Linked DNA regions of Mytilus edulis. The protein of the gene in region 2 interacts with the protein of the main gene of each other region in a pairwise test. Links are inferred from orthologs where the notes say so. Each region holds a gene or a part of one and is shown on either strand. Other genes may lie near its edges.

The links.
Region 1: the proteins of DNA primase small subunit-like (region 2) and small ribosomal subunit protein uS5 interact in a two-hybrid assay, tested with the Caenorhabditis elegans proteins (2 studies listed by BioGRID). The link is inferred for Mytilus edulis from reciprocal best matches to the Caenorhabditis elegans genes pri-1 and rps-2.

Annotation. Positions count from the first base shown.
Region 1 is NC_092352.1:58,050,654-58,060,271, reverse strand, and holds the start of small ribosomal subunit protein uS5, read left to right. Parts: upstream 1-5,776; 5' UTR 5,777-6,717; coding exon 6,718-6,975; intron 6,976-7,321; coding exon 7,322-7,429; intron 7,430-7,794; coding exon 7,795-7,968; intron 7,969-9,618. Other genes in the region: uncharacterized protein, read right to left, coding at 1-93, 613-690, 1,215-1,292, 2,436-2,483. UniProt on the Caenorhabditis elegans protein: Component of the ribosome, a large ribonucleoprotein complex responsible for the synthesis of proteins in the cell.
Region 2 is NC_092357.1:7,814,361-7,823,383, reverse strand, and holds the start of DNA primase small subunit-like, read right to left. Parts: upstream 4,201-9,023; 5' UTR 4,151-4,200; coding exon 4,030-4,150; intron 1-4,029. UniProt on the Caenorhabditis elegans protein: DNA primase is the polymerase that synthesizes small RNA primers for the Okazaki fragments made during discontinuous DNA replication.

The DNA.
Region 1 (9,618 bases), on a different chromosome or scaffold from region 2:
TAAAGACTTCAATGCACCTGCAGAATTAAGTGCAACCTGTTCCAATTCATCAAAAGTTGGAGCTTTGAAAAGGTCCCTGAAAACTTGTTCAGTCTAAAAAATAGTGAATACACATCTTAAAAAAATATAAATAAACTGTTTAATAATTGAAGAATTGTGCATTATTCCATTCCAATTTTCTTGTTAACTGTATTAGTTAATTTTTCTCCTACATCAGGCACTCAAGCAACTTGTTTGTTTTCATATAAAAAAAAATAGACTAAATTTTCTGATTAACTTTAACCAAAAATATACATCATTTAAGCAATAATTGCATCAGAATTATTTTTTCAGGTTGAACTTTGCTATTTTAACCATACAAATGTTCAACTGAACAAAAACTTCAAGTTATAACATTGAGTAAAAATTTTCAGACTTGCAATTGTGAAATTAATATGTTTAACCATACAAATGTTCAAGTGAACAAAAAGTCCAAGTTATAACATTGAGTAAAATATTTTAGACTTGCAATGGTTTATTATAAAAGGACATCAAATTTTATCTATTGTTGAAAAGCTCATTGTTCACAATATACTGAAGGTGATAACATGCGACTCCTAAGACAACACATACCTGAGTTTTACCATCAGTAACAGACTGGGGTAGCACTATTGGGAAAGTTTTCCAATGATACAACATACTCTCTGCTAACTGTATAAATAAAAATATTCAATTTGATTTTCTGTGTTATAACGCCATTTTTAAGCACCACTTTTTTATATATTTTGAGGCGGCCAGTTTTTCTAAGTGGAGGAAGCCAGAGTGTCACAAGACCAAAACTTAGAGGTAGGTCATGACAGGCACAACCGTCAGACATTGTGGTTAAATTCATATGACTGAAGTCGATTTAAAGATCATATTGTTGTTCTTCAGTCATGTTTAGTTTAAAATTTGAATAAAGATGTATTAGAACATTAGATTTTGCCACTATTTATCTTATTTATCCTAGTTGGCCCCTTAAATCAGGAAAACTAAATAGAGTATTTAGTATTACACACATGAACGTATTTGGTTCAGAATAAAAATATATAAACCAGTAAGATATATCTTTAATAATTTAATTTTACATTGGGAAGCTTAATATTTCCCGAACAATAGAATGTAATTAAAACGTTCAACTGATTTTACAGAGTTATCTCCCTGTTGTGGTATGTACATCAATAAGTAGAACAAACCTCTTTGATCTGTTTCATCACCTCTGCCATGTCATGAGGAACATTCGACAAATCCAGCGGGAAAGCCAGAGGTTCCTTCTATAACAAATAAATATTTCAAAAATTATATATAAATTGTTGCATATGATCAATTTATTATATAAACATGTACATTTCCTTGCTTTTTACATATAATTGTGAAAGAAATCAAACTTTTCCACAGAATCAATGGCTCTTTGTCAGGTTATTTATTTTTTTGCAAATGAAACATTCATATTGAATATCAATGACTTAATTACTTTTACATTTTCAGCTTTATAATCAGGTTTAATTACAAGCATCTTGAAAAGACAATAGACCATCAATAATTTTTATATATATTAGATCCGATGGATACATCTGTTGTCTTTTGTAGAGTTGTCACTGACTCAGACGTACTTATAAATATAATTATTTTCTGTGACTGTATATTACATTAATTTGTAGGATCCTTTACTATAGATAATTTAGCTGATCTGTAACAATAACATCTTCATGCCTTATATATCATGTACTGTAGTACGCCGCTAGATTAAAACTGACGAGGAAAGGTAACACACGGCCAGCGAAAGCTCTTTTTTTGAGAGCCCAGGTGGTCGTGTGGTCTAGTGGGACGGTGCAGTGCAGGCGATTTGGTGTCACGATATCACAGTAGCATGGGTTCGAATCCCGGCGAGGGAAGAACCAAAAATTTGAGAAAGCAAATTTACAGATCTAACATTGTTGGGTTGATGTTTAGACGAGTTGTATATATATATATATATATATATATATATAAAACAAAATATAATCTTTAAATCAACATGGATTATGGTAATCAAAGCATCGTAGATGTTGTGATCCAGCCAATAGCTTGTCTGACATTTTTTCTGACATTACTTTAATATTTTTATTGTTATTTTCATTTCCATAATCTTTTATACAGTTTCTATTATATTGCCCAAAGATGTAGAAGAGGGCAAATTTTAATATATTGATGCAAATCAATCTGGTATTTCAACTGAAGACACTATCAGAATTACAGAATCAGTGATTCCCTATATAATCCACCAAATTTTCCCCCAAAATAGGGCGGGCTTGGCACCCCAGGGCCCCCTCTAGATCCGCCTTTGTCAATATATATGCTTAAAACTTTTAACAGGAAATATTTTTGAAGTACCAAAAAGAGATATACTTATACTACTGGGAACTACAAGGACTTACTTGAGGGTCCATACTCCTCGTTCTTCTATTAGGTTCAACTTCAGTCATACCTCCTGCCGTCCTTTACATGTATTTCATCTTAGTTAAATAAAAAAATACCTAAAAAAAATTCAAAAATCATATTAAAAAGCATAAATACCATAACCATCAACTCGACAGCTTATAACACTAATTTTTGTGAAAAGAAAAACAAAAATTGGTATCCAACCAATGTAATGAATATAAGCTAGGAATCCACAGTACTATATCTGCAAGAAGAGCAGAAGCATTGCAGAATTTGTATTCCTACTAAATTATTGCGTGCATTTATTACTGCAATTTTGCAATTTTAGACTAAAAATGCAATTTGAATTTTTGCGGTATTGAGGAAAAATCCTATTTAATTCATATAAAAAATTTCATAATGAATTATTGCAATTATTACCCTGTTGCATTTTTGCAACAATAAAAATGCTGCGATAATTTTTGAATTTACAGTATTAGAATTAGAATTTCCTCATGTATAGTTAACATAAAAAAAAGAAGATGTGGTATGATTGCATACGAAACAATAATCCAACCAACAGCCTGATTTATATAGAAAACAACACAGCAAACATTGCTTAACATGCTCCCAAAGGCAGTAATAATGGTAAAGTGGTCGATATTATGCTACACTACAGTTTTAAAATTTAAACAAAACTCAGACAGCATGGGGAAAGAGTTCTTCTTTTCTTTATGCCTAGGTCACACATTATGAATCACCTCGCCAGATTCACTACGGATTAAATCTCACGGATGATCCCAGAAAGTTGTTTCCGTAGTCTGATAGGAACCGGTACGGATGCACAATGGTATAACTACAGGTTTTGTACCACGAATAATGAAGGACAGGTTCATTTTGGCAACATGAGTGATACAGGCTCTTATGGTAAGACATGGTTTATTACAGATATGACACAGTTTAGTATGCAACAACACGTGACCAGACTTATGTACTGCAATAGACAGCGGTTTGTTACGGTACAAGAAAGGCTTAGTACAAATGAGAAGGGTCTGATATGGGATAGTACAAACCAATAAGAAGGTTTGTGATACTTTATTTTTTTATCATCTATAGCAGTTTAACGTAGATTATTTTTTGTTGTTGTCAGATAAATTATTTTAGATCTGTCTGAACCATGTGATGTTCTTTGTACTGGCCATGGATAGGGAAATCAGTCCCTAGTCCACAATCATGATCTACTCTGCCTCCAATCACCTCTACATGATCTGTCACCAAGTTCCTCGACCACTGCCCTGTCATTTTGTGCCATATCAATGCCCAAATGCCAGTAATTATCTACAAGCAGCAGTTGTTGTATATTCATGTTGGTTAATGCTATGTATACCTCAAGGACAAGAGACAGAATAAGTTGGGGACTAAAACAGATCAGTATGATCTTAGACGGTTTAGTAGGGATATTATAACTACTGTCGTTTGATCCTTGGTAAAATTTTGAACATGTTCAAAATTTGTCAAGGATACATGTATACAAGTACTTCAACATATAACTACGGATACAATACAGAAATCGTCGCACTAATAAAGATTGCCTCGAATGATGCCGGTTCATATCCATAGCTAATATGGCGTAAATTCCGTCAATGTGTGACCTAGGCATTAAAATAAAAATAAAAAAATCTTCTTCAAGAGGCAATTGAGTTTATGTGAATTTGTATCTGAGAAGCATACATTATTTCCCTCAAATAAGTCATTTCTGGAATCATGTCTCTCACCTAAAAAGGTCGTTAATTTTGCAGGCTTTTATGACGTCATTTATCAGTATCCCTGCTCTATTTAAAGTTTCCAGCACTTTTATATTTTATCCTTCTGTAGGGTAGTATAGAATTTATCAATGTGTCCGTAAGTACATGTATGTAGTCGTGATTGTCGTACTACTGGGGTAGGGTGACAATCTTAGTAGATTTTAATTTCCCAAATATTTTGTGCAGTATAAAATAAAACTTTTTCACCCCTTTGCTCAACATGTGTTGGAAATGACTATTCATACATTTTTGTCTTGTGGTGATGGAAGTCACATGGCAGATTCATCTAAAAACCGTATCCAAGAACTTGCCTATTCTATTGCCCATATACACCTTATCGTTATTTGTCTGCCATTACTGGATATCACACAGGTTCCCGTAAAATTTTGACGTCACACAACAAAACATCTGACGCCACAATGGAAAAGTGATTGTTGTATGCGTCAAATGTTCAAGTGGCCGGTTAAGCCGGGATTAGCAATAAGGTGTACATTGGTTCATGATATTGATAACCTAAAAGTTGAATAATAAAACAAAAACATACATCCTTAAGCTTTCGTTAATAAGGAGCTCATCGCGTACCACATGTTAGTTGCATTTACTAAGTTTTTGACTTTGATATGTTTTACTACAGAAAATAGTTGGAAAGGGAGTTAACCTCTACAGTTGGAAAAAAATTGTGAGAATGATCATGATTTCATAATTTTCCTAGGTGTTTTGAACATTGACGTATAACTAAAAGTGAAAATCTGTGCGACTTTTATATGCAATAGAACCTTAACATTTATTCAAGTGGTATATGTTCTTGACTTGACTCAATAAACTATCTAAATTCAAGACCTAGTGGTATTAGCTAAAAAGTCTTCTCGGTTCAGCTCAATTCTGATAGTCTCGGGTTTTTTCTATAAAATCGAGAATTTCTATCTCAACTTCCTTTTCCGGTTTATATATCACGTCGGTACCAATGCTTAAAATTTGTCTCTTTTAAATCCCAAATAATCATTGAGAAATATAAGTTTTTAATTGAAATCGGTGTTGGAAACATTATTTTAAAGCATGTTGATATGAAATATATTTACTTAAATTGAAAATATTTTCTGATTAGTTGAATAAGTGTGTTTTTCGTACCATGGTTCATTCCATCAACATTAAGATGGCTTTATTCCATATTTTAACTGTATGTTTGCTGGTTATAGTAAGATGTTGAACGAAAATTATAATTAATGTGTAAATAGGCTGAGCACAACATGGCAAATGAAAATACTTCCTCGACATTATCCATGAATGAATGCGACGCATACTAAATTTGGTTTATGCACGATTGTGAAATATTTCATCAGATTTTATTACTAGTTTATGGGTTGTGTAACAAAAACCTTTCTTCAGTAGTGTCAGACGAAAATATATTCTAGGTTCAAGAATATGTGCTGTCCGGAGAGACACATTTTTAAAAATTAAGGTCCCAAGCCCACGAATCTGGTAATACAATAGGTATTACACTTAAGACCAGATACCCCCCCCCCCAAAAAAAACCCTGGCTTCAAAAAATGTTTGAAATATACGGCATAATATGGTTCCTACACATAATCGTGTCTCATCTAACCTGTGGTATACCAATGAGATAGTAGGTTATTCTTGGGTATCACGATTTCTAAGGAAATACAAGAACAACGTAATATACGTAATATCCCAAAGACAAACTGATAAATATCCCGATAAGACTTTTTATGGTGTTATACTGTGTTAAATTAGTGTAATCACATACAATTACGAAATAATGTACAAGGTTTTAGGCGTTCATAATTAATAAAAGTATACGCAATCTTCAGAAAATCGATATATTTAGTAAACAAAACCTACAAATCAAATTCTTGAAGTGAAATTGCACTTTTATGGGTTTAAACAAGTAATATCTTTAATTAATATTCTTTTATATTTTTAGTATATTTATAAGAAGTATAACACCATAAAAAAGTAGCATAACACCATAAAAAATATTTTTATTGGGTTATATCAGTTTGTCTTTGGGATATTTTAAAGGTTCTTGTATTTCTCAGGAAATCGTGCTACTGGTTATTCTTAAAATGTTTGACAAATGGGTTTGATTTTTTTTTACACCTCAAAACTTGTGGAAATTTCCCTAACACTAACAGTCAAACTCGCACCCATTCAGCTGTAGAAGGTTGATAAGTAATGACACCCCCCCACAGGACTCTTAAACACAAAATGTATTTATCTAAATGTGCTGCATGGTCATAAAACTTTTTAAGTCATACATGTTTGTCTACTCAGAGTTGCCTTTCTTTTGTACAGTTTAAATCTAGTTGGGGTTCTGATTTTATTTTGTTCTGCAAACTTTAAAGCTTTTAGAGAAATAACCACATTATCTCAATTTGAAAGATAAATTTACTGCATTTCTGTTGTCATTTGCGATGAAAGAAAAAGTGATATTTTTTTTTTTAATTCTAAAAATGATTCTTATATTTAAACAGCAATGGCGGACGCACCTGCAGCAGCACCAGCCGGTGGTAGAGGAGGCGGTGATAGAGGAGGATTCAGAGGTGGTTTTGGGTCAGGAGAACGTGGTAGGGGTAGAGGAAGAGGGCGTGGACGTGGTCGTGGAAGAGGTAGAGGTCGTGGAAATAAAGATGGGGATAAGGAATGGATGCCAGTAACCAAACTGGGACGTCTTGTCAAAGACATGAAGATCAAGTCTCTAGAAGAAATTTACCTGTTTTCTTTGCCTATTAAGGTTTGTATCTAATAATCATGTACAAAAGGGGGCTGCACATTATTTAATATACGTTGGTCAATATGTGTGTGTGATAAATAGGAAACCTTCAATGAAGAAACAGTTATTGTAGCAACTTGTTCATTTAATTGTGAGATTTCAGAGGTTTTTGAAATATAAAAATTCTTCAATTGTACATGTACATCAAATCTACTTGCACTGAAATATTTTTACTTTCAGAGAACTGTTGCCTAGGATTCTTTGTACCAGCTGGTACATTAACATCCCTGAATTGTCATACATGTATTTATTTTTTAATCCAGGAAAATGGGCTATATCTTACTTTCATTTGATTTTTTTTATCCAGGAATGTGAAATCATTGATTTCTTCTTCCCAAGTACACTCAAGGATGAAGTATTGAAGATTATGCCTGTACAGAAACAGACCAGAGCCGGACAAAGAACAAGGTTCAAGGTAAGGTCATTTATTTAACACAACTGAACAAATAGTTACCCAGATATATGGTTTGCATATCATATAAAGATTAGACGTTGTAAGAGTCTGGAATTAAAATGACCAAAGAAATTATTGATCCATTATATTCAACACTTGTCCTAATCCTAAATTATCTAAATCTTTAAATTCAAAAATATCTCTTCATTAATCCAGTTGAACCTTGAGATATTTAATGTCACAATTTTTTTCTTCTTTTAGATTATGCTCTCCATGAAACTGTTCATAAGACATCAAGGAATTCAAATGTATATTATCTGTTGTCTAAAAGTAATAAACAACCTGAAGGGGATGGGAGACATTTAAATATTTGATATTTATTACAGGCTTTTGTTGCTATTGGAGATCACAACGGTCATGTTGGTTTGGGAGTAAAATGCTCCAAGGAAGTGGCAACAGCTATTAGGGGAGCCATCATCTTGGCTAAATTGTCTGTCATTCCTGTCAGGAGAGGATATTGGGGTAACAAGATCGGTAAACCCCATACCGTACCATGTAAGGTAGGTTGTGTAGACCTTAAAAAGGCATTTGACTCTGTGATCCACCCTGCCCTTTTATTAAAGCTTGCAAAAGCTGGTATTGGTGGGAAATATCTATCTATTCTACAATCCATGTATACAAATATTGGATTAAGGGTAAAACTTAACAATGAAAGTATAACCGAAGCCTTTCCTTCAAATATTGGTGTTTTTCAGGGAGACAACCTTAGTCCTAACCTGTTCAATGTATTTATCAATGATATCACCAAGATATTTGATTGCTCCTGTTCACCAGTTTCTATGGGAACTAAATCTATTAACTGTCTGCTATATGCCGATGATTTATTGTTGATGTCAGAAACTAAAGAGGGTCTTCAAAATAGCATGAATAAAGTGTTTGAATATTGTAATGAGTGGGGACTTGGCATCAACTATCGGAAATCAAAAGTACTTATATTCAATAAGGGAAGTAGAATTCCTAAAGTTAATTTCTACATTGGTGAATCAGAAATAGAAATTGTAAAACAATACAAGTATCTTGGTGTTATATTTACTGCAAATGGTAGTTTTAATAATGCGCTAAAGGACCTATACACCCGAGGCCAAAAAGCTTTTTTCAAAATAACTAATGTATTTAAAAATATGTCTTGTGATGCAGAAAATTTTTTGTATGTATTTGACCATACTGTCAAACCTGTACTTTTATATGCATCCGAGATAGTGGGGATGTTTAAACCCTCTTTAGATGATAACTTATTTGAAAAAGTTTATAAATATCTCCCATTGGAGAAACTTAATTTGTCTTTATGTAGATATATTTTATCAGTTAATAAAAAGACAAGCAAACTGGCCTTGTATGGTGAATTAGGTCGATATCCAATTTATATTGATATTGTTTCGTCTATGTTAAAATATTGGACTAGACTTGAAAATGATAAAACAGGTGATAAACTTTTATCTCATGCACTTGCAGAGAATCTACTCATGATTGAAAATAATCAAAATTGCTGGTTAAGCTCAATAAAAAATATTCTCAAGAAATTTAATATGTTCAACTCTAATGAGTCAGAATTAACTCAATTACATGTTTCTATGAAAAATGGTGATATCCAAAGGATAATAAAATCTACTAAAAGTAAGTTTGAATCTAGATGGTTTCAACAACTTCAAACCAGTGAGAAACTGAGAACATATAGAACTTTCAAAAACATTTTCAAATTTGAAAATTATCTTGTTAATATTTGTAACGAAAATGATAAATATAACATGAGTAGATATAGAACCAGCAATCATAGACTGCAAATTGAATTGGGTAGATATACAATACCAAAAACACCTGTTAATGACAGAACATGTAAGAACTGTTCCTCTTGTGAAGTAGAAGATGAAAAACACATTTTATTAGATTGCCAAAAATATTTTACTATTAGGCAAACCTATATAGACATTTGCTATAATAAGAATAGTTCAAAACTGAACACAGATAACAAATTTATTTGGCTTATGAGTAATGAACATGCCAATGTATGTAGAAATATATCTAGATTTCTAAGTTTGAGTATATTTTACAAAACTGATAGCAAAGCAACAGAAAAATTATCATCTTAGTGTTCTGTCATATATATATATATATATTTGTTGTATGGATATGGTAACTTAATAGAGTATTTA
Region 2 (9,023 bases):
ATCGTTCTTAATATAATACGACGTTTATCGGCATTAATGAGTTTTTCTTCTTGACCAATACTTCGAAAAGGGAGACAACTCGAAACGATATGGAAGATTCCATTTCTGCTGAAGGGGTGTTATAGGAAATCTTTACGATGAAACATTTATTTTAATTTAAATTATGCATATGATTTAAAATTGTGCAACAACAATAGCCCTCCATATGCAGACAGACATAGAACGAATCCCATGAGTTTCAAATTAATCAATGAAGCGGGGAATCACTCAATCTGATACCCCTTGAAATCAGGAAAACTACACGCATGTGGGGTCTCACTAATTAGCGACAAAAATCGTCAAGAAGCGACAAGAAGAAAAAAAATTAGTGACAAAAAGCAACAAGAAGCTATTTAGCGACAAGAATACATTTTGTTATCACATACATCAAAATATTTTTTTAGGATTATATTGAAAGATGAAGAAATAAAAAAAATTCGAGGAAGAGATTGTGCACTTTTTATATGAAGAAATTAAACATGTGTAAGAGCAAAGGAAATGTAAACGCTATAAAATGAAAATAAAAACAAAGATTTGTCACCTTCCTTTTGAAGGATTTAATAAAAAAAAAACATGAAATATTATTTCCTTCCTAACTGTACAATTAATTTGTCCTGATAGGACCAACATTAGCTGTGGCTTCACTCTAAGGTAATACACAATTCAGAGCATCAAATGAGATTAACTAGGTGCGTGTCCTTTGTTTAATTGCTACAATAACATCCATTAACACCTTCATCTATTACATGCACCAGAATATACAATTATTGTACCGAATAGTGAACGCCTGACTGTTGAAAACTCAAGATTGTCATCAGTTTCCTTTAATCTTCAATCTATATGCATAAACATGATAAATATCGTTAAATGAGACAATACACTAAATAAAATGATGAAAAATATTCACGTTTTAGTTATGTTTTCCTCTTATTTGATTTCAGTTCTTAATTTGTATTTCACAATTTGTATATGTATTTTCTGGACAATTATGCACAAATAATGCATTTTGCAAGTTAATTATATATTGTACAAAAATAGTTTTAAAAACAAATAAAAATCAAAATATATTATTGTTCTAAAACACAAGTAAAAGTAATACCATAAAACGACAGGGTAAAGGTAATACTTCCTGTGATACCTTATATAAAATATCATGTAAATAAATGTAGCAACTGAATTAGATTTACAAGTTTAATTTTTTTCCCTATCAAAATTAATTTTCCTGTCGTTGAAATTGTTTTCTTTTGCATATCTTTTTAATATTTATTTCGAATAAGTATAAATATAAATAAAAAAATGTTTTCTTGTCGCTAAATAGTTTCTTGTTGCTAATATTATTCTTCTTGTCGCTTCTTGACGCTTTTTGTCTCTACAATTCTTTTTGTCTCTAATTAGTGAGACCACGCATGGGCATTTAAAATACATAAACAAACCGCCACTTGCAATTTGGAACAAGAACGTTTATTAAATGATATGATGAATGGTTCTCCATTTCTTTATGAGAGTACAGTATCAAATATCAGTTTCATAACGGTAAAATATAGAAATACTCCACTTCAGTTCTTGTGACAGAAATAGAATTATCGATCGGCTTTCAGAGAACTCTCGCAAGTTATCAAAATTTGGGAATTCCCTCTGACGTGTTTCTAAATTTATAAAAACACTAAATATAAATACTGTTTAATTCTGATTTTCCGTATTGTTAAAAACATGCATATAAGTCAAGGAAAATATCACACATGAAGATTATGAGTAAAACATTACAGGAAAGTTGTTTATGTTCAATTGTTTTGCTTGTTTTTACCTTTTAAAGCAAGACAATCATAAGAATCTGAGATGTTGCTGAATGTTTAGAATAAAACGAATGACGTGAGGGAGTGTATCATAGGGTCAATGGTAAAAGTCTACAGATTGCTTGACAGCAATCGTATCCCAAAAATCTGATGGGTAACTGCATGGATACCATATGTAGGTATGGCAAACCAATGGGAGATAACTCCAAATTACCCTAAATAATTGTTCCCAGATGTGTGTAAAAATAAAATCTTTGGGTGACCTCCGATTACGGCCTTCTATTAACTTGTTAAGTCTCAGAAGGTTTTGATTGCTTTTGATAGATATTATATGAATATTCATGATTCTGTATATTATAATTTTCGGGAATACGATGAAATATTTGAGGTACAAACAAGGGTTTGAAAGTTACATTCGTTTCAAAAAAATACAAGGGAATGTTATACAGTCATAAAATGTACTTTTTTATTAAGTTTAATATATTAATTAAATAATTAGGTCCAATAAATAAATCTAGAAAGCTGTGTTCATATCAAAATAAATTTTTATAAATAACCCTCCTTTTTGTGTATACAGAGTTATTTCCCTTGCATGGACAACTTTTGGTTTAGTTTTGATTGGAAATCAGCAGAGATAGTTTTTTTTGCATTATACAGCCAGTTTACTGCGATTTAAAGATAGTTCAACCACTTGCCATTGCACACGAGATAGTAAGGATAATGAATAATGTGGTTTAACAACAATCAATATATGTATTTTCAACATGTTCAACTAAAAACATACATAGGAATCCATGCAGTAGCGGCAGTTCACTGGGAATACTATTCACATTCAATACTGTATTGCATTTTGAACTTCAGTCCTGAATGAGATTGGTTTACAGATTTCACTGTATAAATATTGTAACTGATATACAGTTATGAATTTACTTTACTTGTATACATACAAGTATTTACAGTGATCTGACATAATTATTTTGTTTGAAATTTCTCGAATAAAAATAATGTTATATTATTTTCATTGTTTTTCAGTGCAACAGGTATTTTAGTCCTGTAAAATAATTGTTAGAAGGTTGTTGTTTATTTTTATTTATATTAGCATTCACTATACATGCTATATATAAGAATAAGAATATTTCATTAAATAGAATGTTAATGAAAAGGGAACATTCTAAAACCATTATGACTATACAAAGACAGATGACATATTTCAAAACTTTCTGGTCTCTCATGGTACAACTGATTTTTATAGTTCGTTCTTATGTTGTACTGTCACAGGTCAGGGGGAAGATTGGGCACCCGCTAACATGTTTAACCCCGCCACATTCTATATGTACATGTATGTGCCTGTCCAAAGTCAGGAGCCTGTAATTCAGTGGTTGTCGTTTGTTGATGTGTTAAATATTTGTTTTTCTTTCATTTTTTGTACATATATTAGGCTGTTAGTTCTCTCGTTTAAATTGATTTACATTTGTCATTTCGGGGCCTTTTATAGCTGACTATGCGGTATGAGGTTTGCTCATCGTTGAAGGCCGTACGGTGACCTATAGTTGTTAATTTCTGTGTCATTTGGTCTCTTGTGGAGAGTTGTCTCATTGGCAATCATACCACATCTTCTTTTTTATACACACACACAAACATATACATTTGTATATAAAGAGTAATATTCATATTTAAATTTTGTTTCTTTACATTCAAGTGTTTATAAAGTTTTCTTTACATTTTCAATATACCAACTGATGCTCTGAAAAAAGGAAAATATAAAGGTATCATCATGTGACTTTGGACGATAGAATTTCATGCGAGTGGTTGACATTTTCATACTTTATGTATCTATTTTGACCAAAAAACTTAATATTGAGGATTGAAATAGACCAACAAGATGTAAAAGAAGCAATATAAACAAAATTATAACCCAAATGATTCAAAAAATATATTTTATTATTTTTTAAAGAGAGGAAACAGTTTTTCCAGAATAGTAAAAAATTATCATTTTGAAAATTTGCTATTTCTTCGTTGTTATTATGTGTATTGATAAAAGTGAAACTGTTTTGAAAATGTCTTCACAATGCCTTTAAAATGAGGTAAAGTTTTCTTAGATCAGTTAATTTTAAAAAAATCACTTTCCGTACCTACCATATGATAAGAAGAAACCCCTATTGACACAGAGAGAAGTGCCCTTGGAAAAAAAACATACCCCCGCCATAGTTGAGCCACTTGAAATATGGTCCATAAGGAAAAAGTCTTTTGTAATAAATGGGCAATAAATCTGGCAATGAAGCTGCATCATAAACGTGCTCTTTTTCTTCTCCTGGCATGGTATCAAATTTTTGTTTACAAAATTTAGCGCCAAAATCTATTTACCGGAAATAAGAATTTACGACTTCATAATTTTATTTTACCTTATCATGAAATACTGAAATACTAGATTTTCGAAAGATAAGCATTGAAAAATATCTTTTAAAACTATATAACTGATTTTAAATATTGTATAAATTCTACTTTTACGACTCCCGTAATTTGGTCGTAAGAATTTCCACAAAAGAAGAAAGTAAGAAAACACTGCCAAAAAAACAAAACTACAACGAATAAGAAGATGTCATCTAATATTTAATGTTAGTTTAATAGTCAGCTTTGAGATTTTGATGAAAACTTTTATTTATTTTAAGCAGTTATTCCATATCATGACATTAATTATTTTTAAAAGTGAGTTGTCTCCCTGTGACCACAAGTTTTTCACAAGTTACTATAGGCCTATGAGGGTCTTAAGGGTATCGGGATCGTTCGCCCTTATAACATGTTCGCCCTGGGTACGTTCGCCCTGAGTTCGTTCGCCCAGAGAGTCCGTTCGCCCTACTAAAAAATATCGATATTCAAGGCATTGAAGTTGAAAAATCTTATTCAGATATTTCTATGGTATATATATTCTTGAAATTTATGGAAACAGGGAAATATTTAAAAGTTTATGGCTTGTTTAGGATCGTTAATTGTTCAATGACAAAATAATTCGGATCACTGATTATTGTGATACCTGTTACCTGTTACCTGTACTGCAACTCCCTCCTATGTCAGGAGAACCACCAATCCTAGAATCGGTGTAATATCACTCGCGGTTAAAATCCTCAAGATTATGTTTAAAAGATATATAAAACCTTTAAAACTATAAAAGAGATATTAATTTATCTCCTCTGGGGGATGTGACCCTATCACCAATATTTACACTATTCTGGTATGCATAAAAAGTCATCCATCATTCAAATATAAAAGTTGCTTCTTTCATATTAAAAACGGTAAAATGTAAATACACTATATATAACAAAATGTTCTATCTTTTGGTATGACCCTTCTTTTCAGCTCGGTATTACACGCTTTTAATCACTGTTCAATTAATATTGCCCGTTGCTGGAATAATTTATGACACAGACCTCTCGATAATGTTTCTATTCTATTCTGTGCATTCTCATTTAAAAATCTAAATTTTGAGCAGTCGATAACTAGCTGACACAAATGTTCGTCATTGGTTATTAATTCTTGGATAAGATCCTGATCCTCTAGGTTTACTGTCAATACCTCGCCTATCATATGCAGAAAATCATCTCTTATATATTGTAGGTTAGAGCACTTTAATATGAAGTGAAGTATATCTTCTTCTTCCTCTGCACATAACTGGCAAATAGGCGACACATGTCCATTGCTAAATTTAGCTCGATGATATTGCAGGTATATTGTCCCTGTTGCTAACTTTGCCTTTAAGGAGGCAGATGTGATGGCATATGGATTTGTGCCACAGCTTTTCCATATGTTATGTATTTTCCCTTCTTTGACATTTTCATAATTTAGGCGAGACAGAGTAGATTTCGATTTTGCTTCACTTATCATTTGTTTTATACAGTGATCATTGACGGTTTTATTTACCAGGTTTTTCCAAAGTTGTTTCCCGGGTGGGTTATCTATAATATCATATGGCGATGGTAAGTCATATATATTGGCAATTTCAACAGTTTTTGTAAACCAGCTACCAGATTGTAGAGATTTTGTTGCTAGCTGTCTGATAGCTAATTTTCTTTCAATTGAGTTTTCATTTCTTATGATATTTCCAAAGGTTTTCAGTATTCGTTTATGTATTTCTGATTCAATGGTAATCCGTCCAAGAAGAAGATGTGAAGCTACGTTTGCAGTTCTGTCTGGCAGGTGTTGAATTTGTCGCAAGAGTTTTCGAAAATAAGTGGAGAGGTTTTTCATGTCTTCAGTAGATACTTGTCTTTTGATGGATTATTAATAAAAATCAAACGTTTTGTTTTGATAAAATATTCAGCTTGAAATTAATAAACACAATGATGTACGAACTGTAAATCATGAAACGGATTTACAAGTTCATTATTATACTCAGAGACAGTCCTAGTCTCAGTTATACTGCATACATTCATGATTGACTGAATACAATTATTTTGTTAACAAATATCAATAAAGAGAAATACATTGTACATACCAATTCTACTCTGTAAATCAAAGAGAAAATTATAAAATGATTGCGGCAATATAAATATTCTGTCAATTTGTAAACAAACTTTAACATATTTTGTTCAAATACTTAAAATTATGCGACTGGACAACAAACAGAAAAAAATATAAATCTGGGCGAATGGACCCTGGGCGAACAGGTATCAGGGCGAACACGTAGTATGGCGAACGTGAATCAGGGCGAACGGACCCGGATTCGGTCTTAAGGTAGCGCAATACAAAGATTTTTCATCCCACTCAGACATCTTTAAACTGATGTAATTCCACTCATCTTTCTTTAAATTTTATAAATGAGGTACCAAAAGAAAGAAGAAGGATTAATCTTTCAAATTGTGATAATTTCATTATGACATAATTATTACATAATTAATTGTTATGTAATTAGTTGCGGTATTGTGATGTCCATACTTGAATGAATTTAGCTTCTTTGTTATTCCTAGCATCCCAAAATACTTTATAGATTCTTGCACAACACAGTTTGACCTCCAAAACTGTACAAGAATCTGTAAAATATTTTGGGATGCTATGAAGAACAAAGACGCTAAATTCGTTCAAGTGTGAACATCACAATATAGCAACTAATTACATAATAATTAATTATGTAATAATTATGTCATAATGAAATTATCACAATTTGAAAGATTAATCTTTCTTCTTTCATGTCTTTCTTTTGGTATCTCATTTATAAAATGTAAAGAAGGATGTTCAAAATGAATTACATCAGTTTAAAGTTGTCTGATTGGGAGTGAAAAAATCTTTGTATTGTGCTACCTTAATTGAAGAATAACGGTAAAAAAAATTGACAAATGATGTGTACAGTATTTTTTGTTTCATCCATGTGTAGGAATTTCTCGCTGCATTAATGACCTGTTGGTGACCTTCTGCTGTTGTCTGTTCTATTGTCAGGTTGTTGTCTCTTTGACACATTCCCCATTTCCATTCTCAATTTTATGTTGAAATGTACGCTTTCTTTGATATAAAATCAACTGAATTTTAATAATGAATCACATTAATGTTTTTTTCCAGAAATTACGGTGTTGATAATTTCTTAAATTAGACCTCTGACGATTCATGAGAGCTCAGAGGTGGTAATTCCCTTTACCGTCAGTCGTAAAACGATAATTTTCGGCTACCGTAAGCATCAAATTGGTTAAAATTTTAATGTGATTCAGTGTTCTCCCCAGGATTTTTTTGATAGCGCTGTGGTAAGCAGGTAATTTTCGACGATTCTCAGTAACTTTGTCGCGGTGCACGGTTTGTTTGTAATTAATTTGTTATGTGTTTTTCTTATATTACATGTATGCTATTGATGTTTTCTCTTGTAATAATGTCCTCATCATGCTCGTGGAAGTTACCCCTTTGTTTGTTAATGTTGTTGTCTGGATATAGAAGAAGAGTCTTTTTCTCCATTGTAAATTCATATAATCTCATATTATCTGTGTGTAAAACCCAAGGAGAAGTCTTTTTCCATGATGGGTCTATACCAGACTGCCTGATGATGTTGCAGAACATGTAGGACCAACAATAAAGTATTTGTCAGCTTCTGTGTTTGGTTTTGTAACCCACTGTAGCAGTGTATTGTTAACCTTACGACGTTTGAAAGAAATTAACATTTTTTAGCATAATGATTTCTCATTTTTCTGACCTTAATGTTTTATAATATTCAAATGGCTTCATCTAAGCTGGATATCAAGAAAGGGAATTTCTCAAGTCGTATTGATCAGCTTGGGGTTTGTTTTTCTAATCATATCCTCTCAATTGTTTTCAAATGGTAAATTTATCACTGTAGAATTGCTGATTAAACAATTATTAGTTCAAATAGGTGATAATTAATACTTCAACAGACACTTTAAACTTTGAAAACCAAGTATAAACCTTTTCAAACGCAAAAGTCATACCTTGTATGCATATACCTTATGTTATGAAATTTCCATCTGTCATACATGATGATTCTAAGCAAACATATGTATGGAAAGCTTCACCCTTTTTTCAGGGGGAGGGAGGGGCAACTGCAGTTCATGTATGTTATAGGCCCTGACAGCTTTGATCATGTAATAATTCTTTACTTTCAATTTCCTCAGTTTTAAAATGAGATTAATGTAAAATAATGATTACTGTATTTTCAAACCCATTAATTTTGAATTTTTTAAACTGCAGTTTGGTAGTTACAATACACCTTATCGCTATTTGCCTTCGCTTGAACTTTTGACGCATACAACAATCACTTTTCCATTGTGGCGTCAGATATTTTGTTTTATATCGTCAAAATTTTACGGGAACCTGTGTGATATCCAGTAATGGCGGACAAATAGCGATAAGGTGTATCACAACTGTCATGCATGACTGTTAATACAACCGACAAACAAGTACAGATCAAATTCACATGTTATTAGCACCAAGTAACACTAACAATAAATGGTTATACAATGATATATAAATGTCACAGAGAAAGGAGTGACAGTAGATAAATAAGATATCAATTATTTTTCAATAATGAACTTCCTATCAATAAGTTTTCATTTATTTGATTAACAACTTTTCAGTATAATAGCTGATTGTCCAAAAGTGAGAATTTTTTTTGCATATTGTTGAAGGCCATTTAGTGACCTTTGGTCTGTATTAGCATGATTAGAAAGTTGATTTTCCTCTAAGTTCAGAATTTTGTGATTT